2 linked regions of the Caenorhabditis elegans genome follow. The protein of the gene in region 1 interacts with the protein of each later gene in a pairwise test. Each region holds a gene or a part of one and is shown on either strand. Other genes may lie near its edges. The genes, in order: F17A9.5 and exoc-7.

The links.
Region 2: the proteins of F17A9.5 (region 1) and exoc-7 interact in a two-hybrid assay, tested with the Caenorhabditis elegans proteins (one large-scale study listed by BioGRID).

Annotation. Positions count from the first base shown.
Region 1 is NC_003283.11:6,106,583-6,121,903, reverse strand, and holds F17A9.5 (NADH:flavin oxidoreductase/NADH oxidase N-terminal domain-containing protein), read left to right. Parts: upstream 1-8,906; 5' UTR 8,907-8,971; coding exon 8,972-9,223; intron 9,224-9,274; coding exon 9,275-9,961; intron 9,962-10,137; coding exon 10,138-10,415; intron 10,416-10,464; coding exon 10,465-10,603; 3' UTR 10,604-10,933; downstream 10,934-15,321. Other genes in the region: ttn-1 (Titin homolog), read left to right, coding at 1-92, 154-221, 268-327; ceh-49 (One cut domain family member), read left to right, coding at 1,703-1,969, 2,334-2,394, 2,441-2,843, 3,181-3,391; F17A9.4 (NADH:flavin oxidoreductase/NADH oxidase N-terminal domain-containing protein), read left to right, coding at 11,342-11,593, 11,643-12,329, 12,377-12,654, 12,710-12,866; cwf-19L1 (CWF19-like protein 1 homolog), read right to left, coding at 7,255-7,515, 7,564-7,728, 7,784-8,034, 12,934-13,052, 13,127-13,280, 13,327-13,770, 13,819-13,933, 13,984-14,076; atf-8 (BZIP domain-containing protein), read right to left, coding at 14,506-14,676, 14,735-14,956.
Region 2 is NC_003279.8:4,237,206-4,255,294, reverse strand, and holds exoc-7 (Exocyst complex component 7), read left to right. Parts: upstream 1-7,712; 5' UTR 7,713-7,714; coding exon 7,715-7,828; intron 7,829-7,874; coding exon 7,875-8,040; intron 8,041-8,089; coding exon 8,090-8,591; intron 8,592-9,272; coding exon 9,273-9,582; intron 9,583-10,488; coding exon 10,489-10,638; intron 10,639-11,105; coding exon 11,106-11,522; intron 11,523-12,123; coding exon 12,124-12,357; 3' UTR 12,358-12,474; downstream 12,475-18,089. Other genes in the region: met-1 (Histone-lysine N-methyltransferase), read right to left, coding at 785-819; C43E11.12 (Transcription factor TFIIIC triple barrel domain-containing protein), read right to left, coding at 1,451-1,675, 1,724-2,053; cogc-5 (Conserved oligomeric Golgi complex subunit 5), read right to left, coding at 2,223-2,387, 2,454-2,646, 3,401-3,803, 4,118-5,253, 5,723-5,796; tufm-2 (protein-synthesizing GTPase), read right to left, coding at 6,035-6,594, 6,729-7,271, 7,318-7,534; ndx-7 (Putative nudix hydrolase 7), read left to right, coding at 12,569-12,623, 13,197-13,568, 13,723-13,862, 13,906-14,029, 15,927-16,123; C43E11.5 (Tyrosine-protein phosphatase domain-containing protein), read right to left, coding at 16,736-16,816, 16,867-17,121, 17,166-17,546, 17,596-17,904.

The sequences.
Region 1 (15,321 bases):
TTCCGTTGACAAGAAACATTTCGGTGAATACCTGTGCACAATTCGTAACCAGAACGGTGAAGAGTTGGCGAATGCAATGATTCTATCCGAAGGTGAGTGTCGGAAACATCCTAGAATTGATATCGTGTTTGTGTGTAACTCGTTCATTTTCAGTGTTGTCCATGTTCTACTCATCTCTATTTCTCGTGGTGTTCGTTGATATTGTTGCTCAATGTCATGTTGTATGTCAAAAAAATTAATTTTATATGTTTACCTTCCAACTTTCAGGCTCGTCTGCTGCACTTCCTCAACGAAGAACGATTCGTCGGTAGAAACATTTTCGCTTAATTTTTATAAATTCAAATCAATCAATACTTTTTTATTGGGTAGTTTTGCCATTTTAGTTGTATTACCTTGCCGAGATTAGTTTCCACTATTCGAAACGAAAGGACCATTTCAAATGTTATGTTCTATGATACTTCACGAAATCTTTCATTGTCTTCGAAAAAGTCCCCTGATATGTATATCCCATGTTTTCCCCAATATATCATTTGACACATCACATTATTTTAATTCGCCCGTTTTTCGAAGAATTGTTCCATTTGACGGTAAACTTTGAAGACTATATTTTAACAAATAAATTTAATTAAAATAATTGATACCATTATTCGAATTCAAAACAAAATGTAAATGCAAGTAAAAGATGAAGGAACAGTGTGCACTATAGACTTATTAATAATTATTATTTAGGAGGGTCTTCAAAACATTTATATAAAACCAACGGGAGTAGTGAATTAGTGAAAAAAAAGTTCGGGTTGCAGTTCAATAAGTTAATTAGTTTTGTTATATGTTCTCATTGTCTTTTTTTTAATGTTCAATCAAATTCTCAATTTGCACATAGATTCTTTAAAATACATCTTATCCAGTTATCTATGAATTCTCAAATTAGAAGTTTCCCTCCCATCGTACGAAATCTGTCAATTTTTACTTTACCACCATGAAAATCTTACTTTTTAAATTTCAGTTAAAATACAAAACGTATCTTGTATAGGCTTTTATCAAAGTGACAACAAAAAATAGTCACACCGCCAAATCGAACCTTTCAACCTAGGGGAACCAAGTATTTATTTCTCTCAACTAAATACATCGCCACGTGGTGTCACGCTGTCTTATTACAGTTTGATCTACAAAAAATGCGGGAGTGTTTAGCTCAAAAAAATTTGACCTCAGCACGTTCTTAACCATGCAAGTTAAGAACAGATCAACAAAAAAACTACCGCATTTTTTGTTGATCTACGTAGATCAAACCAAAATGGAGCCCTCTGTATCGCCTCCAGTTATAAAACCAGTTAAACAGAGTGAGGTGTGGAGATGACCCCCGTCTTCCCGTATCCGCCCATTTACAGCCACAGAGTCAGCGTTTCTTGGTGGGACCATTCATTTTCTTGTTTCTTGGTCACTCTTCGTCTTCACCTGACTATTGAATTTGGCACCTCTGCCTGTCAACTTATAGATTGGAGTATATATTTTCCATGTTAATATCTTCGTTAAAATATATCATTAGAAATATACCGTGATCTCGAGCCCTCATATTTTACTTGTTCTTATCATTTTCCTCTTTATTTTTTTACTACTGTTTTAAACTGGCTGTAATCTTTAAACATTTCTTTTCAATGTTTTCCATTGACATATTTACATCCAAAAATTCAAATTTTCAGGTAAAATGTCCGACTTCTCGTGTTTCACCAATTCTCCCTACACGCCAAACTACACTCAATATGGTTGCTCAAATTCAGTTCCAGTAGAACATTTAGTTGAATTGACAAGCCATTTTCAAACTCCAATAGTTGCCTATCCATTTTTGCTCGACACCCCCTTCAATATCTACGCTACGATTCCACAAGTTATGGGGCACTGCGTGACAATGGATGCTCCAAAACAAATGACCATGTATTCACAACTCGACAATGATATAGATGCGAAGAAGGAGGTAAGTCAAATGGGATCTTATTACACAGATGCTAAGTTTTGTCCAAAAAATATGGTGACTGGTCTCGACACGGTACATTTTTGTTAAACGCAAAAGGGTCTTTAAGAAGTCTAGTAAATTGATTTCAACGGGAACATTTGCCACAACGAGCATTGGCGATTACAGTACTCTTTGAAGGCGCACACCCCCTTTGCAGATTACGAACATTTATCGTGTCGGGACCAGGTACCGTATTTTTGGGGAAAACCACAAAATTTCACATATCACTTGGTAGTATTTCCCGTACTATAATTGAGCTATTCATAGACAAAACCAAACCACATTTTGAAACTGAATTAAATGATGTTTTATTTAAATTTTTCAGAATAATACTCAAGTGGTTCAGACCCAGCCCTCCCAGACAAGAGCAGCTCCGTATCAGAAGAGTAAGTCTGAAGTGACAATTTACATGTAACATCAAACGTTTTTCAGGAGCACCTCTTAAACAGAGACAAGAAGCTGTATCTCCCTCATCGAGTAACTCTGAACAGTCAAAGTACAGCAAGCAGGAAGCTCTTGCGATGCTTGATAATCCAACAATCATAAAAGAGATTGACTTCGATTTAAAAGATCTCTGTGATAAGATGTTTGTCTTCTTTTCCGAAAACAAGAGGCATATTGAAATTTCGAAACCAATGAACCAAACAAATTTCGCGGAGCACATTCTCAACAGAACTCAAGGATCGTTGTCCGAACTGCTGAATCATCCAAAACCATGGGACGCAGTTTCCATGGGAAGAACGGTCTACCAGAGAATGTTCAATTGGCTGGAAATGTCTGAGGATGATCGCGCAGAGATTTGGAAGCTTGATTTGAAGAAGGAGAAGGCTGACAAGTATGTTTAAAGTTGTTGGAAATTTTTATTTCAAATAATATTAGGAGTTTCCAACTAGATATGTATGAGGCAAAATAAGAAAGCTTGGATCGTCAGATTCCGAACGACAAAATATCAAAGTAACACTTTTCAAAAGTTGTTTGAATGTTTTAATTTACAATAAAAAAGATCTGACATATCAACATTACTTGGAAAGTTGATATTTTTGAAAAATTTTAGCAATTTACAAAAACTTTGACCCAAAATTTTGAAATAATCTGACAATGCTTTCGTGCGATTTGGTACAAACTTTATTCAAGGAACCCCAAGTTTTGACAATAAAGTTACCAATTTCCAGGACAACAAAAACTCCGCGAGCACGATGTTTGCTGTCGCAGGATCAAAAAAGCCAACTCAGCATCTTTTTCGAGACCAATCCCCGTCCAGACTCGCTGGAAATGAAGCAACTGGGAAGTACTCTCAATCTTTGCAAAAGCACGATCATCAATTATTTCACGAATATGAGAAGGCGCAAGGCTACGTCTTCAGTGAAAATGGACCACAATTAATATTCTTTGAAAATCTGAAGGGTTTAATTAATATATAATTTTGAAGTTTTGGTTTGACACGTATCTCATCACAATTGACTGGTGGTTTTTTTAATTGTGTTCTTCATCAACATCAGTTTTGGAGTTAACTTCTTGAGTTGTTCAACATTCTATTAGTTTTCCAATAAATATTTATAAGTATACCAACTATAGTTGATGCTTTTATTTGTGCACAGCAGCAAACCAACTAGGGAATAGTAAAACTTATCGAAACAATATCTTTTTTCTTTTTCGATTTTTCAGAAACTTTCAAATTTCAGAGAAAATATCGACCGCTCATCTCAATTTATACAATTCGTCATCTCAGCATCTTTCAGCATCTTTGGTGGCTTTATGATATTAGATTGCATAAAAAATGTCCGTTCAACTTTTTCTATCAAGGTTGTGAGAAACCATACTGCTGGTAGAATGCAAGTATTTAAAGATCTCCTTTACAGAAGCGTAACAGTTTTTGATCAATCCGTTGCACTCTCTCCACGGACAGTTTGGAAGAAACCACATTTCTTAAACTAAAAATTAATAAAATGCACATTCAAATAATCCGTCAAATGTGTTATTCTGTTGAGTATTGAAATTTTATAATTCACTACATGAAAATGAACACATTTATTGAAAAATTCGAGTAATTATGGAATTGATCTTCCGAGACTGCTACATACTTCAATGTTCAAATTTTTTTCGTTCTGTTCCGAGTAGATATGAATTCTGAAATTTGTGCCATCTGCGGCTGTGTAGTAGAGTTCTTCATTTCCATTCTCTTCGTTGATGATTTCATTTTCCGGATCGAAGACTCTCGCAATTTCCATCAAATTGAAGTCTCTCACAGTGATCGATGCTTTATAAAAAGTTTCCGAGGAGTCGAGCATCTAAAAATGAACTTTATTGAAATAATTTATACAAATTAAACGTACATTACAAATTTTCAGCGCGTCATCAGTGGTGAGTTCTGTCAAACTAATGGAGATATGGTTAAAATGTAGAAAATTCTCAATCGGAATGGTCATGTAGGTATACGAATTGAAAATGTCGGCTTTTTTCCATTGTTTAAGATTCACAACGTCTTCGTGACCAATCGTACCATTTTTCACTTCAAAGTGCAGGCTGGTAGGTTGAATTTGTGCCAAGATTGGACAGATTTCCGCAAAGCTCAAACCATCAATTTTGACCCAATCGACGTTAAATATTTTTGATGATTCAATGGCATGAGTGATATTTTCGACATCTTTTTCAGAAGTCGTTCCTTCATCGTTGACCATGCGAATCGTGAAATCGTCTAGGCACACTTTTTTTTGTTTTTCAGCAGTATTTTGAAATCATTGTAGAATATATCCGTATAATCAAATCCTTCAATAAATGCTTGCTTAATATGACTTGAGTGTCCGCCACCTACAGGCTGTTGAATATAATGAGTATACGTGACATCGCATCCACCATCTCTTGGACTGTACAAAACCTCAGCATCATTAAGAATCATCTGCAACGAGTTGTTATCCCTGATAAGTGAAATGTGATGAAATCCTGATGGCATGGTTTAAATAATGTGGCGAAGATTTCGGGACACTTTTCGAACAGCCAATCTGAATATGAATTATGAAATTGAGGTTTAATTTAACAAAATCTTACCTATCACCACCACTCACGTGTTTCAAAATATCGGGCATCACGTCGATTGGCATTTCCGACAGCATCAGTTGTTTCGGATCCTTACTAAAAATTGAATTAACCAGTGTTTATTCTTCTAAAAGCCATTTCATACCTGCGATCATGATACAGGTCGTGATTCCCGTTTTTAAATTGATAAAACAGAAAATCGAATTCGTAGAACGTCATCACGTCTTTTCCAACTTTTCTACAGAAGTTTTCGTATGACTCCTCAATTGGTTTGTGGTCGAGAGACTCGTACAGGATGCATGCTCGAATAATGAGCTCATTTTCACGTAGAGCGGCGGACATTCTTAAAAATGGAAATTATATTACGTTTTCAAAAGAAATGGTAATATTAAATTTTAAAAAATAAATTGTATGTGTTTGAGGTTCTCAAAAACGACAAAATTTGGAAACAATTCAAATGGGTTCCTCAAAAATTTTTTCGTTTTTGGAGTGAAAATTTTTCTCCTTGAAATTTACTTAAATCTAAAATACAATAACGGAACCTCGATGTATCCTAGTATCTAATTTACATTTCTGGCTAACGTACCTTTTGTGCTCGTCGAGGAGTAGCAGAGAGTATCGATCACACTAATGAAATTAGTGGAGAAATTCAGAAATAAATTAAAATCATGCAAAAGAGTTTAAATCAATATAATACGTCTTGATGCCATTATGATAACCTTTGGTCACGTAAATACTTTCCCGGTACTTGTGTATTATATATAACCCCACATTTTGAAATTCAGTTATAAAAATATCATTTTCTAGTCCTAATAGTAAGTATCCAAATAAATGTCACGTTTGAAAGCTATGAAATTAGGTTTTACAAAAGTTGAGCTATTTAAAAAAATCATTTCCATTTCGACCATTTCGACGACAAAACCATTTCGGAATCGAGAATTGTTAGGGAAATTTGCAAGCAATATTTTCTAGAAACAAGTGAAATTCGAGAAAATAATAAAAAGATATCCTGAAGTAGATATTATCGAAAAAATACGATCGCACAAATTTCTCAAAATTTATTTTTGATCTACCTGTTGAACTTGACTCCGCCCCCAATCTTGTTGCCGTTGCTATTTTGTTGCGGCTGTCTTGCCGGAGGAAGAGAAGGAGCCTATTCAACAAGGTAAATCAAAAATAAATTATGAGAAAATTGTGCGATCGTATTTTTTCAATAATAATTCATGTGTTGCTATTGGAGAGTATGTACAGTGTTGGCCAAAAGTATATGCGGTTTTGATTTTTTGGTGATTTTTATTAGTTTTCAAATAAGTATAACTCACAATCTAGGAACTATAGAAAGAAACGCCCAAATAACAAAATTTTTTCTAACATTTCACGTGGTTTCAGGCTGTTCCATCGGGAATTGATCTACAAAAAATGGGGGAATTTTTTCCCCAAACGTCAACACGTTCTTAACCATGCGAAATCAGTTGAGAACTCTGCGTCTCAACTCCCACATATTTTGTAGATCTACGTAGATCAAACCGACATGGGACACTCTGACACCACGTGGCATTTGTTCTGCATGATAACACATGGTTCAAAATTTTAATACATTGAAATCAATAGATACAGCAGCCGACACCTTGTGAGTTCACTTTTGGCATTTTCTCGTGAAACTTATGTATCTCAAGAATGAGGATATTTCATGAAAGTTTTACTACTGTAGCATAGGAATTTGTTTTTGAATATTGACAGCAATGTTCCATTTTCCTTCGTTATTTCGCATTATAGTCTCATTTTTTCCTTTAATATTTTATCGATAAATAAATAATTCTTCCTTGTTAGACCCCGATCCCGTAAATCGACACATGCACTACAGTAGTAATTTTTAAAAAATTATTGTAGTTTTCGCTGCGAGATATTTTCGCAATAGAACTGTAAGTTCCCGTAATTTGTAACTGCTTAAATAAAAATTATTGTAGAAAGATTAGTTTTTTTCAGAATTAAAGAAAACTACATTTGTCTTTTCACATATTTATCCAATTTCCTTCAAATTGAGAGTAATTTTTTTTTCAAATAACATTTTCGTGTGCATTAAAATTCTTCTTCTTCATAAACTGATCTTAAAGTTTTTCACAAGAAAACAAGCAAAAAGAGAGGAATTAAGTTAATAAATATTTAGAAAAGCAATAAAATAAATAACAGATCGTAAAAATTAAAATCCTTGATTAGTCGGAGTCATCTTCAGCAGTGAAGTCAAAAGGTTTGAAATCAGATTTCAGTTTATTGACCAGTTCGACTTCCTTCTCTTTCGCGAGTACACAAGCTTTCCAATCAACTTTGTCTTCACAATCCAGAATAGGTGTAGAAGCAAGAACTTCACGTCCGAAATGCAATGGGAATCCTTTCATACTTCTAGTGAAAAGCTTTGATCCATCAGGAAGCTCTGCGACAAAGTATGGACATCCTTCATTGACCATGTCGAGAAGCTGAAACGTTGTCTTTTATTCATTGTAAAATAATTAATCCGAACTTACACTTTCATCAGGACCCATTGTGACCAACTCGAAACCAGCACAAGCAGCAGCAGTTGTAAACGATGATTTCAATGCTTTCGAAGATGATTTATCGATCATAACCATTTGAACTTGCAAATGTTGTGTGCGGAAATTACGTTCAAACGTGACCAATGCTTTTCCTTGCTGAAATATACAGATTTTGAGGCTAAAAAAACGAATTTCTGTTTTAAATAATTACCTTATTCGCCATCAATGTGAACGCACTCTTGAACTTTTCAATCTCATCACGAACTTCAACTGGAGCAGAAACTTGTGATTGAATATGTCCAACAGATAGAACCATAACGTGATCTTCAGTGAGTGGTCCTTTCGGCATGGCTGCGTAGCATTTATTTCCAATGGCGACCACCAAATGCTTTTCGGCGTCTACATTCGATAAACAGAACCAACATGGTCCAACTGGTTGCTTGTTTCGTGGTCCATCGTTTCCTATAAAAACGTTTTTTTATGTTTGTTAACCTTTTCGAGTCAATACAATTAAAAACTCGAAAACTGTATTTTTGAAGAATGTGCATATTACGGAACACAAAATTGTGAGAATGCGTATTGTGCAACAGATTTGACGCGCAAAATAACTCATAGCGAAGACTACAGTAATTCTTTAACTGACTACTGTAGCGTTTCGGTCGATTTACGGGTTCGATAAGCGATCAGTTATTTTCCTTCGTTTCTTCGTATTATTTTCTCATTTTTTGCCTAATTTCAATATTGTATCGATAAATAGATTGTTTTAATTTATTTCAAAAATCGAGCCCGTTAAATGACTTACAGTAGTCATTTAAAGAATTACTGTAGTTTTCGCTACGAGATATTTGCGCGTCAAATATGTTGTGCAATACGCATTCTTACAAGTTTGTGTTCCCGTAATAGATGTCTGCATTTTTTTTTAAATATAATTATTTAAAAAATTTTTAAAACTTTTTGTTTCGGTACAATTGGCGATAAAAGCCTTTGAAATATTTTTTGGATTATTTTTTTCCAAAATTTCATTATATTCTTACAATGTATTTTAACTAGGCGAAGAATGTTTTATGATCTTCTATACTTCCTTTTTTCAGTTGTTTTCGTAACAAAAACAGGTACTTATCCTTTTCTATCCCTACGCACTAAATGTTTAACTTTTAATTCAAATGTGTTCATTTTAATACTACTTTCATTTTCAGGTTTAAAAAACAAAATTACTAGGCCGTAAAATACAGAAAAAGGTCGCATTTTAATCAAAGAACAACAAATTTTCATGTGGTGGAAAAGAGAGAGTACCCAAAAACACAACGATTACCAAGAGATAAGGTCAAACATGCATTGTAGTTAGAATGTGGCCAAGAGTATAAATACAACAATCATTTCGTCGACACAAAGAACCAAAATGTCTCTTCGTCGTTTCCCACATGCTGAAATCGTTTCCCCAGATGTTCTTGGAGAACATTTGAAATTTCGAAATGGTCGAGAAACTAATAATCGATTTTTGAAATCTGCCCTCACCGAGATTCAATCCAATTATTATCCAAATGAGCCAAAAAGGCACGGTCTTCCAACTGATACTATTCTTAATATTTATGATAAATGGGGAAATGGAAATTTCGGAATGATCTTAACTTCGAATGTTCTAGTGGACCCAGTAAGTTTTTTCAACAAAAAAATCCATTCATTTCAATACTGACCTTTTCAGACTAATTTGGAAGCTGCTGGAAATGCTATAATCTTCAAGGAAGGAGATTGTCATGAGCGTCGAGCTCTGTTCACTTACTGGGCTAAGCTAATGAAACAAGATGGTGCTCTTGCCGTAATTCAGCTATCTCATGCTGGAAGACAGACCCCAGAGTTCGTGAATCCTACTCCTTGGTCAGCTTCTGATGTTCAACTTGTATCGGCTACACGTATGACAACGTATGGAAAGCCGAAACCCTTGTCAATTGAGCAAATTAAAACAGAAGTGGTAGATCGATTCGTTTATGCTGCCAAATTTGCATATGAATGTGGATTCGATGGAATCGAAATACACGGAGCCAATGGATATTTGCTTTCTCAATTCACATCTCCAACAACTAACAAGAGAACTGACAAGTATGGAGGCTCGCTGGAAAACCGTCAGAGAATCGTTATCGAGGTTTATGATGCTATTCGAGCTGAAATTCCGGCATCAACTGGTTTTTTGGTGGGAATTAAAACAAACTCAGTGGAATTTCAATCAGAAGGACTTACTTTGGAAGATGCTAAAATTATGTGTCAAGTATATGAGGACAAAGGAGTTGACTTTGTGGAGCTAACTGGAGGAACATTTGAGAAGCTCAACTGGACCTGGGATCGAGAGTCGACTAAGAAGAGAGAGGCATTTTTTGCTGAATTTGCCGAACAGGTAATTATTTATTTATATACTAACAATATTTCAAAAAATCATGTAAGAAAAGGTTTTTGAAAACACGTAGTCAAAGTTTATACATTCGTACTTTCCAAATTTTAATCGAATTAGGATCCCTGCCAAGTCATCCATTTTCACAATCAATCAAATTAAATTGATTGTAACGGTTTCAGATTCGCCCAGTTTTCAATAAAACGGTGGTATATTTGACTGGAGGTTTCCGAACAGTTTCTGCTATGATCAACGCAATCTCCTGTAATGCAACTCAAGGAATTGGTCTCGGGCGCCCAATTACAGCGGAGCCAGATCTGCCAAAGAAGATTCTAGAAGGAAAAGCCATTTCAGCAGTTCAAGACTCATTCAATCCAAATGATATTGCAACAACAGTAATGGCAAGTGGCACACAAATGGATCAAATGGGGCGTACGAATATGGAAAAAGCAGGCGGAAAGTATGATCCAAAGTAGTTTTTGATACTTTGGAAAGTTAATCATTTTCAGTATAATGCATCTAATCACCGACTTCAGCGATGAGCACACCGTTCAAAGATTTTCTGAAGCATTGGGCTTACATGTGAAACAAGCAGCACTCGATATTAGTGAAGGAAAAATACCGAAAGCAATAATTGCATTCAACTAAATACTGTATTTGCACTTGGTATTACAGAAACGCAAAGTTCTGAGAATGCGTACTGGGTAACATATTTGACGCGCAAAATATCTCGTAGCGAAAACTAAAATAATTTAAAAAATAATTCGCTTTCGATTAGAAATTCATTTCGAAATTCGAGTATGTAAATCGACTACAGTAGTCAATAAAAGTATTACTGTAGTTTTCGTTACGAAATATTTTGCGCGTCAAATATGTTGCCCAATACGCATTCTCAGCATGTTGTGTTCCCGTAACATTTAACCTATTTTACATAATCTAGGTGTTTTAAACTTTTTATAAAACTTTCTCGTAATGCTATCTTTGCCTCTTAGAAAACTTATTCAGCGACGTGTATCATAACCAATTCTAATCGGCTTGTTAGAAAGAAGAAATATAATACTTCGGCGTCTCCACTTTGTGACTGGGCACAAAATGCAATTCAGATTCTACTTTCGAAATAGCCATAAAATCATAAGATCACAGATCTTTCTTCGTTTCTCAGGCAACCAGGTGCACAATTGTCATCACTCGACCAGTGAGACCACAATAGAACAGCAAACGTTGTCATCTTTTTGGTTAGACACTTTCTTTCTGCCTCTGCGTCTTTTCATAAGGTGTGCATACTCTTGTTTGCCCAACAACCTAGCCGATCAGAAAACGCACTATATTTGACCTGCGTGTACACTGCTATAAAAGTAACATTTTGTTCTTTCATTTCTTCGAAAAATGGCTGCCAGTCGCTTCTGTGATAATTTAACTGTCTCTTCTAAAATTCTTGGAGAGCAACTCAATTTCCGAAATGGGAAAACTGCTCAAAATCGGTTTTTGAAAGCTGCACTAACCGAACGAGTGTCCACTTATGATCCGGAAAATCCAAAGAAGCATGGTCTTCCTACAAACTTCATCTTGAACTTGTACGATAAATGGGGACACGGAAAGTTTGGTACTATTCTGACTGGAAATGTTCTTGTCGACCCGGTAAGTCACTGAAGAGTTTAGAAAAATAATACGTTCTATATAATTTTAGACTAATTTGGAATCTGCTGGAAATGCCATAATTTTCAAAGAAGGAGATGGAGAAGAACGTAGAGCTCTGTTCACTCAGTGGGCAAAAAACATGAAGCAGGACGGAGCTCTTGCCGTTGTTCAATTATCTCACGGAGGCCGTCAGACTCCAATTACAGTAGAACCGAATCCGTGGTCGGCTTCTGATGTGAAGTTGAGTGGTGAACGGCGTTTCACTGCATTCGGACAGCCTGTTCCATTGAGCACAGAGCAAATCAAGACTCAAATCATTGATAGATTCGTTTATGCTGCAAAGTTTGCCTACGAGACTGGATTTGATGGAGTTGAACTTCACGGAGCTCATGGTTATCTTTTGGCTCAATTCACGTCTCCAACTACCAATAAGAGAACTGATCAGTATGGTGGTTCAATTGAGAATCGTCAACGCATCATCCTTGAGATCTATGACGCTATTCGAGCTGAAATTCCCGAATCAACTGGATTTATGGTGGGAATTAAGACAAACTCGGTAGAGTTCCAAGAGCAGGGAACAACTGTTGACGATGCAAAAGTTATGTGCCAGGTTTATGAAGACAAAGGATTCGATTTCGTAGAACTTTCCGGTGGAACTTATGAGAAGCTCGCCTTCCATCATATGCGTGATTCGACTCGTAACCGTGAAGCTTTCTTTTTAGAATTCGCCGAAAAGGTATTTTTCCTGGTTAAAATCAGTATTTAAATGAGCTTCCATTTCAGATTCGTCCAGTTTTCAAGAAAACCGTTGTCTACTTGACCGGTGGCTTCCGTACCGTGAAAGCAATGGTAGAAGCTATTGAAAATGGTGCTACCCAAGGAATCGGATTGGGACGTCCAATCACCGCCGAGCCAGATTTACCAAAGAAAATTATCGAGGGATTAGTTGCTTCGTCAATTAAAAATGCACTCGATGAGAATGACTTTGGAATTACAAACTTGGCTAGCAATACTCAAATGCAACAAATGGGACGTACAACCTACCAACAGACTAATCAAACGTATGTTTTTTTTTTTCTGTTAATGCGATAGTTTTAAAAACAATTCTTTTTTTAGTCCAACCTACGGAATCAGTGACTTTTCGAATGAAGAAACAGTAAATCGCTATAAAGAAGCTCTCAAGGACTACACAGTATTCATGAAAAGCATGGCTTCTCAAAATAAGCCGATTCACGGAGTTCTAGTTTTTGAAGGAATCAAGCAAGAAGCCTAACTGGTCTTTGGAACAACCATGATCTTATTGTAATATGTAATTTTTCTTAAATTAAATAAATACTCACCTCCATCATTATGTCTCTTTCTTCCATTTCCAGCTCCATCCTCAGCACCTCCCATTTCAAATCGATATTGCGAACCTTCGGGTCGTTGTCCGTTTCCGTTCATTCTACTGAGGGTTTCTCTGAAAAAAAGAAAATTTTTAAATAGAAATTTAAATAGAAAAAAAAAAGTTTTTTTTTTTAAGTTGCAACTCACTTTGCAGCAATCTCTTCCAGCAATTCTCGATATGGGAATTCCGATGCATTCGGTGGCTGCGCCGTGAGCTCTTCTTTCTCCATTTTTCGCATTGGTTTCACATTACAAGCATAAAGCCATTTTTGCTTCTCTGGATTCCCGATCGCAGCCAGTCCTGAAATAATTATAATTAATTATTAGCCTTTGAATACAAAATTTACCTATAAAACGTGTTGTATGCCTTGCTGGTTCTAAAAGCACACGATGATTTCGATATGGCTGCCTTTCGTAATGAACTCCAAGACCCGCAAAATGGTATCGCGGTTTCAAGTGAGCAGCCAATTTTGATAATAAAACAGATCCTGGTTGTGGTTTAGATGGTTGATTGTGTGAATGACGTGCTATGTCTGCTGGCCAAACGGATGTGAGTAGAATGTCGGTCCCAGAGAATCCAACTTGAGTTCCTAACGGGATTAATAGTTCTTCGACGTCGGCTTTATCGAAACAACTGAGATCTTTGGAGGATCCTTCAACTCCACTCAAATATGCAATTTGTAATCCAGATGCAGTATTTAAAAGTCCTTTCTTCCCAAGATATGTTAGATTTGAAGAGAATTCAATCGACTCTTCGGGATAGAGATAGCTGTAGCGTGGATTTGCAGGACCTGGAAAATCAGACAAATTTTCGAAGTTCACATTGTATTTAAACATACCCAAAATGTAGGTTGGAATTGGAAATTCGATATTTCCATTGATAACTTTCTCATTTGAATCGTCATCGTCGCCGAAAAACTCGCCAACACAAAATAGTGAATCGAATGGGCCATTCTAAAGAAAAAAAAATAATTGAATGAATCCCAAAAATCGATAAAACATGCCTTTTTTTCGGTTGTTGATATTTTCTTGATGAGTTCTACAAAATTTCCATTCACATCACCACAACACAATATTTTCGCTTGTTGTGTGGCCATCTGAAAATTTATCTTGATTCTTGTGAATATTTTTATTTAATTTTAACAAGAAAAATGAAAAACCAATTGGAAAAACAACTGAAAACAAGGAAAATCATTCAAATTGAGAACGCAATAAATTATTCGTAAATCCACACAACTCGCGGAACGCTAGGCCACGTCCCGGTTTCCTAGTCCATTTGGTGTCTTTTCGGCGGCTGTTCAAATTTAGTTTTTTCTGATATGTTTTTTCGGTCACAATTTCTTATTGAATCATAATTTTTTGTACTTTAAATGCAGAACCTTTTGAACAAAAATGTGAATGAACGTTTATTACATCGGTTAGCTTTGCAAATCACAGATATCTTTTCGAGTTTTACGAGTACTGGCTCAACTAATCAATAATTACAAACATGAATGCATAATTTCAGAGTAATATTTCAAAAATGATCAAGTTTTAGAAGAGTTGCTGACTAGCACTGTACTCCGAAGAAGAGATGGTGAAGGAGTCTTTGGAATTTTTAATGGAAGAGGTGCATACATCTGACTTGTAGTTATCACTGATGAAGCTGGAGCCGTTTGTGCAGTGAGAAGTGGTAAAGATTGTAGAGGAATTGGAATCTGGAAATTTGAATTTTGAAGAACCACTTATATTTTGATTGGATATCAATTAACTTACACTAATAGACGTTGTAGGTGTCGTCAAAATCAGTGCTCTTAGCTTATCAGTTTCTGCTCTCAGTTGATCTAATTCTACACGGAGCAACATATTTTCACGTTCTAGACTTGTTGCTCTATGAGCCATTTCATCTTCTTTCATTCTTCTTTGATCACGACTTCGTTTCGCAGCATCATTATTCTTTCGTCGTCGTTCCCAATATGCTACATCTTTCACTTGATCCTGAAAATAAATTTGTTTCAATTTTTACTCAAAATGGTATATTTCTGGGATGGGAACTAAGAATTATTTAAAATTTAAAATAAGAATAATGTTTAAGGCATCTTCTAGATTTAGTCATAATTTGGGAGTGAATAAAAACATAACTTTTGGAGATGTTACACAGAAGTGTCTGTCTGGCTCTTTTCAGTTTTCAATTGGACTTTCAGCAAATCAATTAAGAAGAGAAACTACCAAATTTTCACTATCCAAATACCAAAATACCAGAGTTCACGCCAAATGCAGAACTGGCTGCAGGCATCCCCGTGCGCCTGAAGTTCCCCGTGCGCCTGCTGCCTACCAGGGAAACTCTATTGTTATGTGTATGT
Region 2 (18,089 bases), on another chromosome or scaffold:
AAACATATTAGAAAGCTCACACTTCCTTAAAATACGAATGCTTAAAGTCAGAGAGTGATGAAAATATACAAATTTCTAACAAAAACATATTAAAATCTAGGTTGGCGCCCAATTTAATTATCGATTTTTTCATTTGCTTTTTTTCTCAATTAAAAACTCCTTTTATTTGAGTGGATCAAGCTTTTAATATATAATAAAAATTGAAGAATCAGGTTCAACTTTAATTTGAATGATTTTTAGTTTCGAAAATCACTTTTTTATCAAAAATTTATGACTTTAGACTTTTTCTCTCGGTTTTTAATGAATTTTACATTATTATTTGCAGGTTATCATTGACTTTACTTTAAATGCTAAAAAATTTGATGAAAAAAAAAAGAAAAACGTCAAAATGGGATGGAATTGCAACGCACTCGTTCAAAAAATAACGGTGGAGCACTTGTCCGTGTGTAGTACACAAAAATCGATAGATTTCGTTTTAAGACCATTGATTAGCAGCTAACGACGCTCCTTTGCGACCGTATTTTTAATTATCGATTTTTTGGTGAACCTGAGTGCATTTTTTGAAGAAAACATTTTATATTATCCATATTTCTATTTTAAAATTTATTTTTAATTTAAATTAAAACAAACCTTGAGTAAAATGCCTCTGTAATTTAAAATTTGAAAGAAAAACGAGTTTTCCGTCAATGAAGAGCGTTGAAAGTAAAAATTGACCTTCTACGACAATTGAAACCGGATTTTTCTTGTTAAAAAAAACGAATTTCTGTCTGAAGCAAATTCTCACCGCTTTTTAGGCAATACCACTTTGCGTTGAAACATTAGAGCTCGCTCACAAAATCGATAATAGTGAAGTGTGGAGGCAAAAAGGGAATGAAAAATGGGTACCTTCTTCTTTTTCTTCTTCTCTTCTTCGTCGTCTATTCGTTGTCAGAAGGGTGGGGTTGGCTGTGTGTGCGTGTGAACGTCGTCTGGATGATGTGAAGGCTAGAAGACGTCGAAACGGCGCTCGCTCTCTCTCAATGTGCCTATATCGAATTGAGAATGCGTTTCCTACTAGCGTCTCACAGCTCTCCTCGTTCTTTTCTCGAAGAGCACTAAGAGACGCAGAAAGACTTGGGGAGAGGGAGGGCAACGACACAATTGAGATGAGATGGTGGAGGAGGCAACGGGGGTAGAAGAGATGGTTGTACGAGGAAATGAACGTGACAGCAAGATTGCAAAAACACGTGGAAAGATGCGATACGCAGTGGTTACACAGGGTGGCCGCTGACTGCACATGCCATGCCATGAGGACGAATTCTTCTTCTTTGTGTGTGCGCGGCGCCAATATATTGAAAAATGACTGTGAGACGCAGGTTGTCTAACAAATGTTGGTTTCAAAAGCAACAGTTTTATTTTAGCAGTTATATGAGTTTATTTCAGAGCTTCATGTTAATTTATATTTTGAAAATCATTGTTGACGTGGTTGAGTTCGACTGAGATCAGATTTCGGAGCAGTCTCTGCATTGGCGGCTAGTGTAGATCCTTCGGTGCTTAACGAGGTCAACAGGGCTTTTTCTGCAGTCATCATGGTCGATGTACACGAAATCACTTCCATCTCTTTTCCTTTTGACTGCAGAACCATATTTGTTCCGAGATCTTGCTCCCAGGATGCCGTGTATAGTGAGTTGTTGATCTGAAATTCATAAAATTTTACTTTTGAGTTTGTATATTTCCATTTTACCTGTAAAACTGGTGCATCCGTTTCAGCGTACCGCAATTTGATCAAATCTCTCTCGACGGCATCTCTAACAAGATCCGCGTCGAGAATTCCATTGACAGTGACCACCATCGTTACATCTTCCCATTCATCATCATCACCTTCGTCTTCTTCTACTTCTTCCTCTATTTCTTCTGGTTGAACTTCCATCTCTTCCGGCTCATCTACCCTTTCGGGTATTTCTTGTTCAAATCGCATTGGCTTCAGGCATGCTTCTTCTGGTTCTCGTTTGATGGGCGACATTTTGAATTCTACAATATATTTCTGGAAAGAAAAAATTGGAAAAAAACACATAACAATTCAGAATAGAAATATGAAGAATGGCTGAGAACCGTGGAGACTGAACAAATGGAAATTGTAGGAATAAACGAATACACTTTTATTCCACCCAAATAAATAAATATTATCACAATCATAAATACATAAACCCATGCGTTGTTAAATTCTCCGAGTGTCCTTTAGGTTAGAAAGCATTTTGAAGAAGCTTCACAATACGAGGATAATGATCGACATAGTGTTGTTGACCACGTGAGATGACAGAACTATTGTACGAAGACACAAGTCCGTTGAGGAATGCGAGAACTTCCAGCTCAGTGTGCTCTTCGTACCACTTTACATATTCTTCGGGCTGAAAATTGAAACATATAAATATTTCATATTTAGAGTATTCATAGTATTGTGGAAAACTACGAACCGTCCATTTTACAGATTGATTAGGAAGTGGAAGTTCTGAAGGGCTATCGGATACTAGTAGCTGGATTAAAATCGACTTTTTGACACCTTCAACTCTGAGCATCACATCAACATCGCTTCCGAAAAGATCCAAAAGTCGAGTAGTGTCACCATATTTGGAAGGCCATTCCATTGAACGAACGGCTTCGAGTAATCTGAAAAAGTAATTTTTCTGACGAAATTATTGAATAATTTAATAAAAGGTTTGAAAACGTATTTCTTTTGTTTTGATATCCTCTGAATTCGGTTAAAACTTAAACATTTTTGATAAGTTTTCAGTTAGACAAGTTAAATAAATAAATTTAAATACAAAATGGCGGCAAAGATGTAAAGCGCTGAATCATAACCGATGTAAAAACAGAAAAAGTTAACACTTTTGTGATTCAGCGCGCCGTTTTGAGTTTAAATTTAAAATGTCTAACCGACAACTTGGAAAATAAATTTAAAATAATATAAAAATTGCTAACCACAGGGAAAATCAGGTTTTTTTGTTGTTCTTTTTTTTTGCTATTTCAAAATTTTTTCTTAAATTTTTTTTTCTAGGATATCTTAATAAAATTGTTCGATTTTTCGGTTTTATTTCCACAGAAAATAGGAAAATACGATAAAACTATAGATTTATCAAAAAAAAATGGTTTTGATGATAAAAATGACTAAAGAGGTTTTTTTCTTCTAAAAAAACATTTTCGATATTTTAAAAATCATATATTTTTTTGGAAATTTTTTAGAAGACGACAAATGAGAAAAACAATAAATTTTTTGAGGTTTGAAAAATTATTTAGAAAAATTTACATGTTTTGATCAAAATTGTTTTTTTTTCTATTTCGAGTGTAATTTTTTGCAAGAAAACGTTTTTTAAAAATTTTTTTTGAAAAATTTTTAACATTTTCAGTTTAAGCACCCTATTACCTTGAAAAGTCAATGACAATGAGTTGACGTTCATCAGAAGCATGTGATCTGACTAATGTGGCATTTAGAATAAATGAGTCAATGACATATTCGGCAATTTGTGAGAGTACGTGAGAATGACAAACTGCTCGTGAAACGTGAGCCATGTGCATGTCGATATGATTAATGTAGGTGAGCAATTCTTGCATGTACGGAGCCACGGATTTTGTCATTCCGCGTGTTTCAACGTGCATTCTTGCAACAATCGCGCGAATCGAGTTTTTGACTTCTATGACGATCGCATCAAGAGTTTCTTTTTGAATCGCTGTCACACTTTTCGATTCTGCTGGCCAACGTTTTGTGATACCATCAGCGGTTTGAATGAGACGATAGTTTGTCATTTGATTTGCAGTCAATCGGTCTCCTGAAAATGTTTTTTTATTTGGTCATTTAAATGTGGAGTATGGAAAATAAATATTTGTTTTGTACACTCAAAAAAGCTCGAATATCATAATAAAAACTCAATTTTTGAAGAATGAAAATTTAGAGAAGTCTCAAAAAAAAATGTTTTGAAAGTTTTATAAATTTGGAAAAATTTTCGAATAAAAAAACAGGACTTTTTCAGAAAGTTTTATCGAATCGCCGAAAATATCGTCATCGTTTTCTCGGGTTTTCGGAATTTTTTTTTGTTTTTGATAAAAAAAATCAACAAAAAAAAGTATTAATTTCACAGCTCACCTAGGAGTAAATCATCTCTTTGTAAATGAAGATTGGCTTCCAATTTCTTTGCAATAATCTCAATGCATTTCTCAATATTATTGCTCATTTTCTGGCTCAACTCCGCGTCCCAGTCGACTTTTCGATGTTCTTCTTCCATTGCAGAATTGATAAGATCGACAAATGCATTGGCATGAGCTGTAGAGAAGTCATTTTCTTCAACGAGTTTGTGCAAACGAGCCAGTGAATGAGTCAGGAGAGAGTTCTTGAGTGGACGTAAAGAATCGTTCAAAGCGGGTGAACTATCTCCCTTTGAATTGAATACTCTACCCAATTGCTGTACAAACCGCAAAGCGTATGGAGTATCGAGTGGAACTCTGCTACGAATCAGTCGAGCCAACTTTTCAGAGAATTTCTTCTTATAGACTTCACCCAGCATAGCCGCTTGTTCGAGATGTGATTGAATTGTTGCAGCGACTACAGGGAGACTTTTATTAGCAACTTCTGGAGAGCTGTTTGATAATTCCATTAATTTCTTATCCAGATCGACAACAGAGGAGGACAGCAAAACTTCAAGTTCTGAATCCAAATAATTCAAAGTTCGAAGAGCTCTTTGAGCAGATACAACCATCGAGCTATTCAATGACGCTAAACCTCGTTTCAACTCCTCCGCTCCACTGCGTCGAACTTCATTTTCAGCCACTTTCAACTTGGTATCCACCATATTCTTCAACCATCCAATTTTTCGCAAATTTTTATTATCATTGAGTATCTCCTTAATCTCCGATGTGATCTCCGCCTTCTTCACCAAATCACTTCGTTTCTCAAGAGATTCAAAAAGTTCTTCACATCTTTGGGCATCTGAAGCCATGTTTCTTTTGAGCATCGTTGCTTCGAGTTGGCGAGTTTGTTCGCGAAGCTTCGTGGTAAGATCATCACAAACCGTGGCGAGTCGATTTGATTCTTTGGTCACTGATGTCATTCGCATTTGAACTGAATGTAGAGTATCTTCAAGTGATTGAAGAGCTGGCACTTGCTCCAGTAGTCGTGGAAGATTAGTTTCGACTCCTTTACGAAGCTGTTTGTCGAGGGTATCATGGAGTCCAGCGACTTTTCGATTCAATGATTCAGCTACGGATGAGTCACATTCTGCTACCCTGAAAATTTGTACATATACTTAGAAAAAAACTTGAAGATAATTTTTTTGATCGACGACTTCCAAAAAAGTTTTTATTACTTGAAATTTCAAGTCAATTGAAATAACAACTTTTGCAAACATTTTTGATTTGATTTTTTATTAATATAATGTAACACTACAGTTATGTTTTTTAAAAATTTCTCTACTGGCGGTACTCCATCTTTCGACAAAGTGTGCGCCTTTAAAGAATACTGTAATTTAAAACTTTCGATGCTGCGAAGTTTTTATCGATTTTTCATAGTTTTTCTTACGATTTGTTAAAGTTTATGTTGTTCTATTTTAGTTTTTAAAAAATAAATAAATGAATATACTTTTTGCAAAAAACTATGAAGAATCGACGCTACAGTACTCTTTAAAGGCGCGTACCATTTTTCATTAAACAAAAATTGTCGTGTCGAGACCCAAATCCACAAAATTTGGCGACTTACTTTTTCAAGTAATCCTTAACATCAGTTTTTCCCCAGAGGAAGTCGTCGAGCTGTTCGTCGACTCTCCCCGACATTTTAAACTGGAATTAAAAAATAAATTATTATTTAATACGAAAATTAAAAATAAAGATATTAATGAGCAGATCAGGTAAAACTGCTATTAATAGGAGAATGGTATTATTTGAACAATAAAAGTAGTGAAATATTATTCGAAGATTTCGACAAAAGAAAACAAAAACAAAACAAGATATAGTAGTTAACAAGCTAATAAAATCTAACCTAAAATAAATCAATACTGTAATATATAAAGAACTACATCTTTTCAGCGGACTTTTTAAGATTATGTTTCTCTACAGCCACATGATCCTCTAGATCTGAGATGATTCCTCTAGCGATCGTTGTTTTACTGCTTCCTTCTCTCAATGTAAACGGCATTCCTTTTCTGAGTGGCATGTCTTTCATCAAGAGTACTGTAGCAGAAGTATGTTCTCCTGGCATCAGAAGCTCATTGCTCATATCGAAACGACCAACTTGATCCCAAGTACTGCAGTACATTTTGTCTGTGAAACCAGTCCGAATTCCGATCTTCCTGCCATTTTCAGCCTCCGAGAGAAGATAAAGTTCCACTTTCACTCGATTCGTAATTGTTACTGCTCCTGGATGTCCTGCCCACATTCCTCTCTTCACTGTATCCCCTTTAACTCCTCTACACAGAACTCCACAATGATCTCCAGCACGAACTTCCTTCACACTTTTGCCAAAAACTTGGATATCCGAAGCAGTCGTTTGAAGAGTTTGCCCGTCTCCTTTGATTTCAACTTTATCGCCTTTTTTCAAGACACCTCTTTCCAGTGTACCGACGATGACTGTTCCTGAAAAACATTTTAAATTGGTTTTTTTTTAAATATTAGGGGTGGCAAAAAATGTCATTTATTGAAATTTCTTGCACTTTTTCTTGCAAAATAAATTCTTGATTGGCACACCTTATATTTCTTTTTTCAATTACCTCGCCCAGTGATAGCAGTTTTCGATGCAATTGGCATTACAAAAGTATCCTTTTCATTTCTATCCGGCTCTGGAAGTGAATCCAATGCATCAATCAATCTCTCGATACACGAAATATCTTGTCCTTCTAGAGCACTTAAAGCGGAACCTCGAATAACTGGAGTCGCATCTCCATTAAAGCCATGCAGACTCAACAATTCCCGTGCTTCCATTTCTACCAAATCCAGATCATCTTCTTCAACCAAATCCGCTTTATTGATGAAAATCGCCATATTTTTAACACCAACTTGCTTGGCTAGAATCAAATGTTCTTTGGTTTGCTCCATGACTCCGTCGGTTGCAGCAATCACAAGAACAGCCACGTCCATTTGTGAAGTTCCGCAAATCATATTTTTGATGAAATCCGAGTGACCGGGGCAATCAGTGTGGGAATATCGACGCAGAGGACTTTCATAGCCGATATGAGCGACATTGATTGTAATTCCACGTTTCTTTTCTTCTTTTCCCTTATCGATTTCGTCAAATTTAATATGCTTCGCAAAACCTGCAGAATTGAATTCATTTGTGAATAATATAAAAATTAATTAAACCTTTTTTAGCCTGAACTCTTGTGATTGCTGATGTTAGAGTTGTTTTCCCGTGATCGATGTGTCCAATAGTTCCCACATTTACATTGATTTTTGGCGTAGCAGCTGCAGTGGCAAAGAAAGCGACGGCATTTCGTGTGATTGAATTACAAAATGAAGATGTTGAGCATCGATTGAATAGTAGAGATCGTGTGAATGCCGACAAAGCAGCGGGGTTCATTTTACCTATAACACCGAGAAATTCATGTTATAATAAAATCGGTTATAACAATTTTAGTAACTTTGAAACCATAGAAACCTGGAACCTGAATTTAATTTAAAAAATTCCAAAAATTGCGTGGCAACTCATTTTGTCCTCGAGGAGTACGCGGCCGCGTGGCCTAGGAAGTAACTAGGTCACATGTTGGTTGTTTATTATTTTTATTGTTTTCCATTTTTCTCTGTCAATTCTCGAATATTTCCAATGGCAAGTGATCAAAATGCTGCCGAATCGATAGCCAAAAAACTAGCTCAGGTTTGTTTTTGCTGAAAAAGAAGATTGATCATTTAAATCATTTCAGGAGGAAGAATGGCTACAGAATTTTCAAAAGAACATCGCGAAAAGCGCGCAGATACGACAAGGAATCGAACAAGTTGTTGAAAAGTTTGATCAGAGATTGAGCTCTCTTGAAAAGAATGTGCTCCCGATGCATATTTCGAACGGGAAATTGCAAAAGAAACAGCATAGTATGTCAATTTGGCAGTTTTCTTTTAAAAAAAAGAAGATATTTTCCAGATATCCAACGTCTCATCAATACAATTGACGCTACTCTTCAATTTTACGGAAAAACTAGCACTGTTGAGAATGCAATAAATAGTGGAAATCCGTCCGTCGATCTCGACCCTTATCTCGAAAATATGGAAAGTCTGCAGCAAGCAATCATATTTTTCGAAACCCATCCAAATTATCGAAGTCAAACGGATAATATGAGAATCACACTGGACACTGGATATACAATGCTTGAAAAAGCTTACAAGAATTTTCTTCTGAAGAATAGTATTACCGTGGATCCGGCACCTTTTGTAAAAAATGAATTGACACCCAGATTGAGTGAAATCAAAATTATGACCGATGAAGAACCGATAATCAAAATTGGAGTTTGGCTCCTGAAGCAGCCACGTGTTCCTAATAATTTTCTGGGTTATTACTCTGAAATTCGTGGAGCACAAATTTTGAAGAATATCAAGAGCATCGCAGAAGCACAGAAATCATCGCAACTTGCTTCCAGAAGTAAATTGTAAGATTGAGTGTTTTTGTGTGCGCCAGTCATACAGTACCCGGTCTCGACACATTTCTGATAAAAAACAAAAAAGATGTGTACCTTTAAAAATGAATGTAATTTCAAACTTTCATAGTTTTCGATTAAAAAAAAGTACTTTTTTAATTGAAAAAAGCTTCAGAAAAGCTTTTAAAAAATTAAAAAACTTAAATTTCGACAGATCGGACTGATACAAACGATAACAAAATCGATGAACATTTTCGGAACTAGAGTTTGAAATTACAGTAATCCTCCAAGGCGCATAATTTTTCACAATTTGTCGTGTTGAGGCCGGTATTTTTGACGCAAATTTTCACATCTCGATAAAGAACACGGCTGTTGGAAAAAAAAGTGTTTTTGACCAAAATAAAAAAATTGAAATTTGCGAAAAACCAAAAAAAAAAGCCAAAAAAAATTGATGCCTGTTAAAAAAAAAACCAAGAAAGAATGAAATTTTTTTTTGAATTTTTAGTCTTAATAACCAAAAAAAAAATAAATTTTTCTTAAAAATTCAAAAACAATGTCTCAGCCCTGGTCTGAAAAACTGAAAAATCGAAATAAAAGTTATTAGAAAATTAACAAAAATTCCAGCTATTTCTCGATAAATCGAAAACCAAATATTTTCAATTTCTCAAAAATTCAAAAAAACATTTTTTTTAGATCCACAGCAGTCCGCAAGCCCGTCCAGCGATCCGAAAAAGTAGATGTCCTAATTGATTTGGATGCGTGTCATGCCATGTGCTCTGCACTTCTTAGTCTACTGGAATTGGAGGAAAAGTTGATGGTTAAAGCAATTCCAGACACATCGAAAAGAGCCCAAGTATTCCGAGAACTCGTGTCAAGACCACTGGCCTACGCAGTTGTTCAAACTCAAAAAGTAGTAAATGAGAAAGATATTGGAATTGTTCCACTTCTTCCGTTACTTCATCTTTTGTCTCAAAATTATGCAAGATTCCATAACTTGGCTACGGTATGATTTGTTGCCACTCTAAATGACCCCAAAAAAAAAATGAAAAAAGTGTATGGTGGTTTGAATTTTTGAAAAACTGACAAATTTTTATTTGGAAAAAAAAACATAGAATTTTTACTGAAAAAAAATAGAAAAAAAAACTTAACGAAAATTCTGATTTTTTCGTGAAAATTGAAAACAATGACTAAGGTTTTATAGACTTTACAAAAAAAATTAGTGACTTTGGTGAGAAGAAAAATAAATAATTTTAAAACAAAAATTCTTAATTTATTTATAATTTTGGTGAGAAAAAAACAATTTTTTTCAAAAAATTAAAGAAATCGCTTAAAATTTTTTTTTGAAAATCGAAAAAAAAAACGAGTTATATAGATTTATCTAAAATTTGTCGATTTTGATTATCAGAAAAAAAAACAGAATTTTCTTTGACAAAAAATAAAATTAAATGAAAATTATTGAACATTTGAATTTTCGCTGAGAAATTCGAAAAATGTTTAGCGGAAATTAAACATCGAGTTTTGATGAGAAAAATATGAAACTTGCTTCAAAAAAATGGAGAAATGACCGAAATTTAATGAAAATTTTCAGTTTGTTTTTCCTTAAAATTGAGATAAAAAGCGGTTAAATTTATCGAAAATTTGATGATTTCGTTAAAAAGAAAAATAATTTTTGATTTAAAAAAAAAAGTGAAAATATCTGTAACAAACTGAAAATTAAAAAAGATACAAAAATTCCCAGTTCTGGACTTAAAAAAACGAAAGTTTTTATCTTTGAAAATCAAAAAAAAAAGTCTAAAATTTTATATATATTTATCTAAACCTTGTCGGTTTTGTTAGAGAATTATTGAAAATTTGATTTTCTTTTCCAAAAAGTCGAAAAATTCCAAAAAAAAAAACCTAAAAATTACAGAACAGTATTGGAGATGTTCAATTCGACTCTCTCATGCGTCAGCTACAAGTAAAATGTTCTTCATATGTGAATGAAGTGATCGAGAATTTGAACGAAGACACTACAAAATTTGTGCCACCAGATGGAAATGTTCATCCGACAACTGCCTCTGTAATTCTATTTCATTTTTCATGAACCCCGGGGGCGGCAAACGATTTTCCGGCAAATCACCAAACTGCCGGAACTGAAAATTTCTGGCAAATTGGCAAATTGCTGGTTTTGCAAATTTTTTTAGAAATTTCAGATTTTAATATTTTAATCTACAAAATTTTACGCATCCTATGAATTTTCATACATCTATTTTGAAAAGTAAGCAAATTTTATGAAGATATCTAGAAAAAACAAGCGAAAAATTTCAAAAATGCACAGTTTTAAGTGTTTCCGTCTTATAAAAAATTCCTCTAAACAGTTCCGTCCTTATTGATGTTCGGCAAATCAGCAATTTGCCAAAAATCAACATTTCCGGCAAATTGTCAAACCGGCAATTTGCCGACTTGCCGAATTTGTCGGCAAAACAATTTGCCGAACGACAATTGCCTCCAATCCCTGATGCACCCATTTATTGTTTTTTTTTCCAGACTCTAAACTTCCTGTCAAGCCTGACAGCTCATCGTGTTACAGTAACCCAACACGTACTTGCTCTCACAGCTCCACAAGGCTCCAATACAAATCTTCTACTTCCAAAATTATTTGCCCGTATCCTCTCTGCTCTGGGAAGTATGCTGAAGAAAAAAGCGAATCTGTACGATGATCCAACACTTGCAACTATATTTTTGCTCAACAACTATAATTATATTGCAAAAACGTTGGCTGATGAGCAAGATGGCCTTCTTCCAGCGATTACTGAAATGAATTCAAATATTTTATCATTTTATCATGAAGAAATTGCCACGTGTACAAATGAATATTTGAAGAGTTGGAATGGAATCGCGTCGATTCTTAAATCAGTTGATCGTATTGGAGAGGATAAACAAATGGCCAAACAGATTATGAGCGTAGGTTTTGGAATTTTTAAATTAAAAAATAAACCGGGAATATAATATGAATTTACTTTTAAAGAAAGCCGAAATAATACCAAACAAACCAAAAAAAAATGTAATAAATTCGAAAAAAAATAACGACGATTTTGGCGATTTTCAAATCGGACGAATATTTTTCTTTTATGAAAATTCAATAAAAAAGGATGAAAAATATTCAAAAAGTTAAAAATTTGCAAAAAAAACATTGGAAACAAGTGGATTTTCGGATATTCAAAAAATTAATATAAAATCAGGAAAAAATTTTTTTGAATTTTTTCCCATTGATATTCGGTATCAGGAGGGTGTACTTTTTCAAAAAATCGAAAAACTAAAAATTTTCGATTTTTCGCTTTTCGTTTTTTCGATTTTCCGATATTTCGGAATAAATTTTCCATCTTTTCAAAAATACGCTTAAAATTTTGGTATTTTTTCTTTCTTTTTTGAAGAAAATTGTATGTTTTCTCTCAATAATATAAACTAAATCGGATAAAATTTCCAAAAATTTTTGTTCTTCGATTTTAAAAAATTCGAAAAATCAAAAATTGTCCCTTTAAGTTAATTTTCTATTTTTTTGCAGACATTTGTCCGTGACTTCGACCAAGTACTTGCTCAACAAATGGACTATTGCATTTCGGATCCAAAGATATCTGCCAACGTTCAAACACAAGTGAAATCTCGAATCTGGAAGAATTACTCACAACTATTGGACACTTGCCAACGCCTACACGTCTTCCCACAAGGAATTAAATATACTGAAAATACTTTTGAAATGGCTATTCGAAATCTATTCTCATCTGCTAGAATTAACTAAATTTGATTTAACTTATATTTTAAATATTATCATAATTTTTTCGCTGTTGTGATATGTTAATTTGCTAATTTATTGTCTGCTTCATGTATTTTCACTGTTAATAGAATTTATTACTTCAACCATATCGTATTTATATGTTCCACAGCCTTATTCTTGGCTTAAATTCCTAAATTTTCTTGTGATTTTTATATTTTTATGGTCATTTTTCAGTATGTGTATCGGAAAAGTGACTTCAAGTTGGCGATCGGCTGCTTCCATAATTTTAGGTATTTTTCTTTAAATTTTTCAAAAGTGAAACGATGATATCGTAACTTATAAAATATTATTATGGAGACGCAGAATCAAGGTGCAATCGCGCTCAACCGCTAAATGGAAATGCTTCGTCCTTTAACGTTGGGGCTCGTTAGGTATTATAATATTGGCGGCAAAATCAGAAATTCAAATGGCTTCAATTATTTTCACCGATTATGTCGAAATTGATGACATTAAAAAAAATAAAAATGAAAACCAAAAATGTCGAATTTCGATTTATTTGTAATTTTTTTAAGGAAAAAAATCACTAAAACCAAATTTTGCTAAAGAATATTTGTAAAATATGAAAAATGATCGTAGTACAGAAAGCAATTTTTGGATTTTGTGGTGCAAAAATACCATAAAAGACCCAGCCTTGGTTCTGATATCTCATACCGTAACCTACCGTACCCCATGACACGATTGCGGTTTGCATGCTGTCAAAAAATTTAATTTTTTTGCTCAAAAAAAAAACAATTCCAGTTTCTTTTCTCACACAGCTATTAAAAAATTAACATTTTTCTCAATAAAAAAAACCTGAATTTCAGCATGCAAAACCACTCGCCGTGTACTCATGCTGAAACGTGGCACCACTGCCAAATTCATGCCAAATACGATGGTTTTTCCCGGTGGAGTCGTCGACAAAACTGATGCAAAACTCGGCGATGAATTCAGAATTGCTGCTGTTCGAGAGCTTTTCGAAGAATCTGGAGTGCTTTCGACAAAGAATGGATGGCAAACGTCGGCGAATAATCCAGATATGACGAGTCTGAAAGCGGATATTGTAAATGATACATCGAAATTCGAGCAGCTATCCGGAACTATTTGTGCAGATAATCTTATCGAATGGGATACATTTATCACTCCAGCAAACTATCCACGACGATTTCTAACAAAGTTTTATCTTATGCTCGTGGATGGTACGAGTTTGAAAATAATGGAAAACGGGTTCAAATGCCCAAACAACTCAAAGGAAATGAGCAAAATGCAACAAATTTGAAAAAAAATCTGATTTTAAAGTTTTTCATAAAAACAATATAACAGTTGCCCATGAAAATATAAAAACATTTCTAGACGAACCAGCAATCGATCTATGTACATCGGAAATGTCGGAATATAATTGGATTGAACCGAAAGAGTGTGTCGATGAAGCTTATGCCGGAAAATATGCGTTGCCTCCACCACAAGTCTATGAACTTACCCGCCTTTCACAGGTTTCATAGATTTATTTCCTGAAAATTACATGGTTATTTTTAGGTGAAAGATTGGGATCTTTGTGAGAAATATGGAAATGTGAAAAAGCCAATTTGTCCGCAGCCAATCAAGACAATAGGAGAGAACTTGATCACAAATTGCTTTCCAGGAGATTATATGTATATTGGTAAGTTAAAGCAAAAAATATTCTCACCATCACGGCCTCTCTCAATTTCATTTATTTCAAAATTCCTCTTTTTCTCTCACACTCTCTCACGTGAGATTGAAAATTGAATAATATATGTGTTTTTAAATTAAATTCAAAATATTGACGAAGAAAAAACTTTGGTATAAATACTGTTTTGTTAGGACCGATACCAAATGGTAATTTTTGGACATATTTGATCTCGTAGACAACGGTTCACTATTTCAGTGATCTTTAAAGTAATAAAAAATTCTTCAAAGTTTGGTACAGAGAAACTAAAGTAGTTACATTTGTAGAAACTTACATAACTTATAAACCTACCGTATTCCTATCGTACCCAATTACCGTATTTCCTCTATTAGTCTTGAATGCAAGACTAATTTTCAATTGACCCGTAGGGGTGCAAGACTAATAGAGTCTGCATGACTTATTTTCGATTGATCCGTAGGGGTGCAATACTAATAGGGGTGCAAAACTAATAGAGGAAATACGGTATATTTTTTGTCGTACACTGATGGAAAACTGATGAGACTTTCCCGACTGGGTTCACAACCTGAGTTATTCATTGGTGGCCTCGGTTTCAGTCGGTTGCCGACTGTAAAGACGGGATCCCGTACGGGAAAAACAAAAAGTGACATATGAAAAAGGTATCAGACGGTATTAATCCATACTTTGTTATTTTTTGCTTCTTTGAGTTGATTGTGCAAACGGATAATTTCGAATACCTTCGTGGTATCTCTATCAAAGTTTTTCAAAGCATTGAATCTTTACATAGCTTAAACTATGTATTTTGTGAGAATAGCCAAGTATTATGCACATAAAAAATGTTTCTTGTGTTATCAAGATTATTTTTGTAGTTTAAAGTTTCTTGATAGCTTTTCTGGTTACCGAGTTATATGTTTTCAAAAGCGTTCACATCAACTATTATGCTTGCGGTTGTCCAAAAATTACAATCGCATTGTCTTAAAACTGAAGTTACTCAATCAGTTTTTGATCAAATCAGGTGATTGACATATTAATCTCTTCCTTAGAGAATTTTGCAACTTTTGGTGATGTTGAATTTTTGATTATGTCTTGGTGCGTCTCGTAAAATTAGGAAAACCCGCCAAAAATTGTCGTTTTTTAACGATTTTTGGAGTTTTCAGGCCTAATTCTTGTTTTGAAGATGCCGACGTCAATTTTCATCAAAAAACCTTCATCAAAAACAGAAAATAATCATAAAAAAATTATCTACAAAATGGTGGTCTTCAATTTTCAAATTTCTCTTTTCAAGGATCACTAGAGGTCCCAAAAAAAATCCATTTTTCGAGGTAGCCTTTTGTTTTTCCGTCTGCCGGCGTCGTGAACATCACTAACCTAGATATTTGCATAAAAATAGACACACTTAGTCTTAATTGACAATATATTAATAAAAAATTTAAAGATTTATCAGCGAATCGCCGGCTTTAAACAGTTTTGTCTGGAAAATCACTGATTTTGAACTTTCACATGTGGGCGTATTCATAGGTGATTTACAATTTTGCCCTTTTTTTCATATAATTTATATGTGTTTGATCAGGCAGTTAGTAAATTTTTATTAGATTTTGTTCACTATCAGCCGTTTCCGGTCTATTTTACCGTTTTCAGTACAAATTCGGCTCAAAAAGCTCACTCTCTCGCCCATGAGAGACGCAGAGACAGTTCATCACGTCAATTTATTTATTTTTTGAAATGAAGAGAGGCCGTGACCACGAGCTAAATTTTATTAGGTTACTGTAGTTTTTAAATATTTTAAATAAGCTTTATGTAGCTTTGCCTAGAAAAATCGAACAATTTCCCAATTTCAACCTAGTTTTCCAAACTAATTCCCACGAAATTTAATTTTTTAATTTAATTTCAGATGAAAACAGCTTGCAACAACCGCTCCGTCAAATGTCTGCTGATCGTGTTACCGTTGATCCAACTCAACCAACTCATCGCGCCACCTACTATTCGGAGCCAATGTATGGAAAAGTTCGGTTGTACCAGCACCTACTGAAACCAGCGGATATTGCAGCCTTCCATCAGTTTGACACACATTCGAAGGATTTATTGTGATTAATTGAATTATTTTATTACTAGTTCGGGTGTATATTTCTAGGTTAATAGTTGATGTTCTAAAAATAAAGCTGATTAAAAAAATATTTATTTTCAAGTGAGGATCATTTTCTTCATTTACGCAATGCCACTTTGATCTCCTTCATCAGATTGTCTTGCCAGGAAGAATGGTTTGATTCAATTGTCTTGATTCCGTTCGCCAGTTCTCGCATTCTGAAACACATTAAAATTACGGATATGGTGCATCGAAAGATGTGCAATCCTCTCACAAGCCACTTCAAATTCCTTGATACTGAGAACTTACAATATTCCATTTTGATGTTTCTAGTTGCCTCATTGGATAATAGAAATGGTCTCGTCGCGAAAACTTTTTGAAATGTTATAATAATTTGGGTTTGGATACTGTAACCTCAAAGGCGCAAAACACTATCAATTTTTTGCAGGAAACTTTCGTGGCGAGACTAAAATACTATTACTCATTCAGAGTGTAGAATTAAAAAAAACCAGATTTTCATAGTCAGTCTGCTGAAAATACTGAAAAATAACAGAAAAGCACGATTCTACAAACATTTTATTTTGCAATAGTTCTCAGTTCAGGCTCATTTTTCTTCTCTAGACTGCCAAGTTCCCGAGTTCATTCAGTTTACGGTTGCCGAACTTTTCCATCAAATCAGTCAGTGCCGTGCTGCAATCCTGAAATGTTATTTTTGTTAAAGAAAACTATTTCCTATGAGATTTCTCACATTTGCGCACCAATTTGTATCCTTTCCGATATTCAAGCAAACAGCCATGCAGAAACAGAATTGATAGTAGGTGGAGATGGATCCATTTCGAAACTTCATGATTGCTTTGATCAAGCTTGGAACATCAAAACACTCTCGTTTCTCGACGTCTCTCAACAACATCAAAGCAACCCAACCAGTGGATGCACGATTAATGCCATCGAATGATTGGAGCATGACTGGTGGCACAAAGTTTTCCATACTTTTACGCAGAATCTATTAACTGTTATTATTTGCAGCAGTCTTTAGTTTCAACTCACGTCCATCTCAAACTTCTTGACCTCACGAAAGAAAAGAGCCACGTTTTGAGCTTGCTCCAAAGCATTCCCGGAAGTTGGCTTCTGTCCAGACCAAGTATTCATATGGAAAACGATGAGTCGGTGACTTTTATAGTTCGATGCATTCGGATCATCGCTGTTCTTATCGATCACAACTTCACTATCAGTCAACTCTAGCTCATACTTGGTTGCTCCCATGCTAAGACCTTCACGAGCCTTGCAAACGATGGAAAGAGTTCCCTTCATCAGTTCAGCTTCCATTTTCTGCTCTAGCTCAGTTGGAAAGTATGTATAGCACTTTCCATCATCGGAACCACTCATTTGTTCGTCGTGGCACAAGCACACAAGAATTCTGATGTGATCCTGAAAATAAATTTGAAATGATGTTTAAAAATTCAACAAAATAACAAACCTTTAGAATGACTCTCCAAATCAGCTTTGAGCTTTTCTTGGTCGGCGCCTGCACAATGATGTACTCAGCTCCTTCCATTCTGACGTACTGTCCTGGGAAGAACTCCTCATCGGATCCGCAAAGAACGCGCCGATTATCTCTAATCGGGATCGGCAAACGAACATTTACCGGCAGGTTCTTGACGAATTCCGGCACATTGAATGCAGCATGTCCCTTTAGAAGGTCGTACATTTGAGGGCGACTCTTTGCTTTCAAAAGCTGATCAGCCACCTCAGTTGGCGATTGTCCTTCAGACACGGTGCTTGTTGTCTGAAATGAAATTCTCGTAGTTGAAGTTCTCACTCATTTTTTAAAAGTTATCCACAGTTAATTTGCGATGTGTTCTTCAGGAACCTTACAGCATTGACATCATGGACGCACGATGCACATGTGCTCCACGAAATCATGCAACAAGGCGCGCGTGAATCCTTGATCTCAATGGATCCATCGCAAAT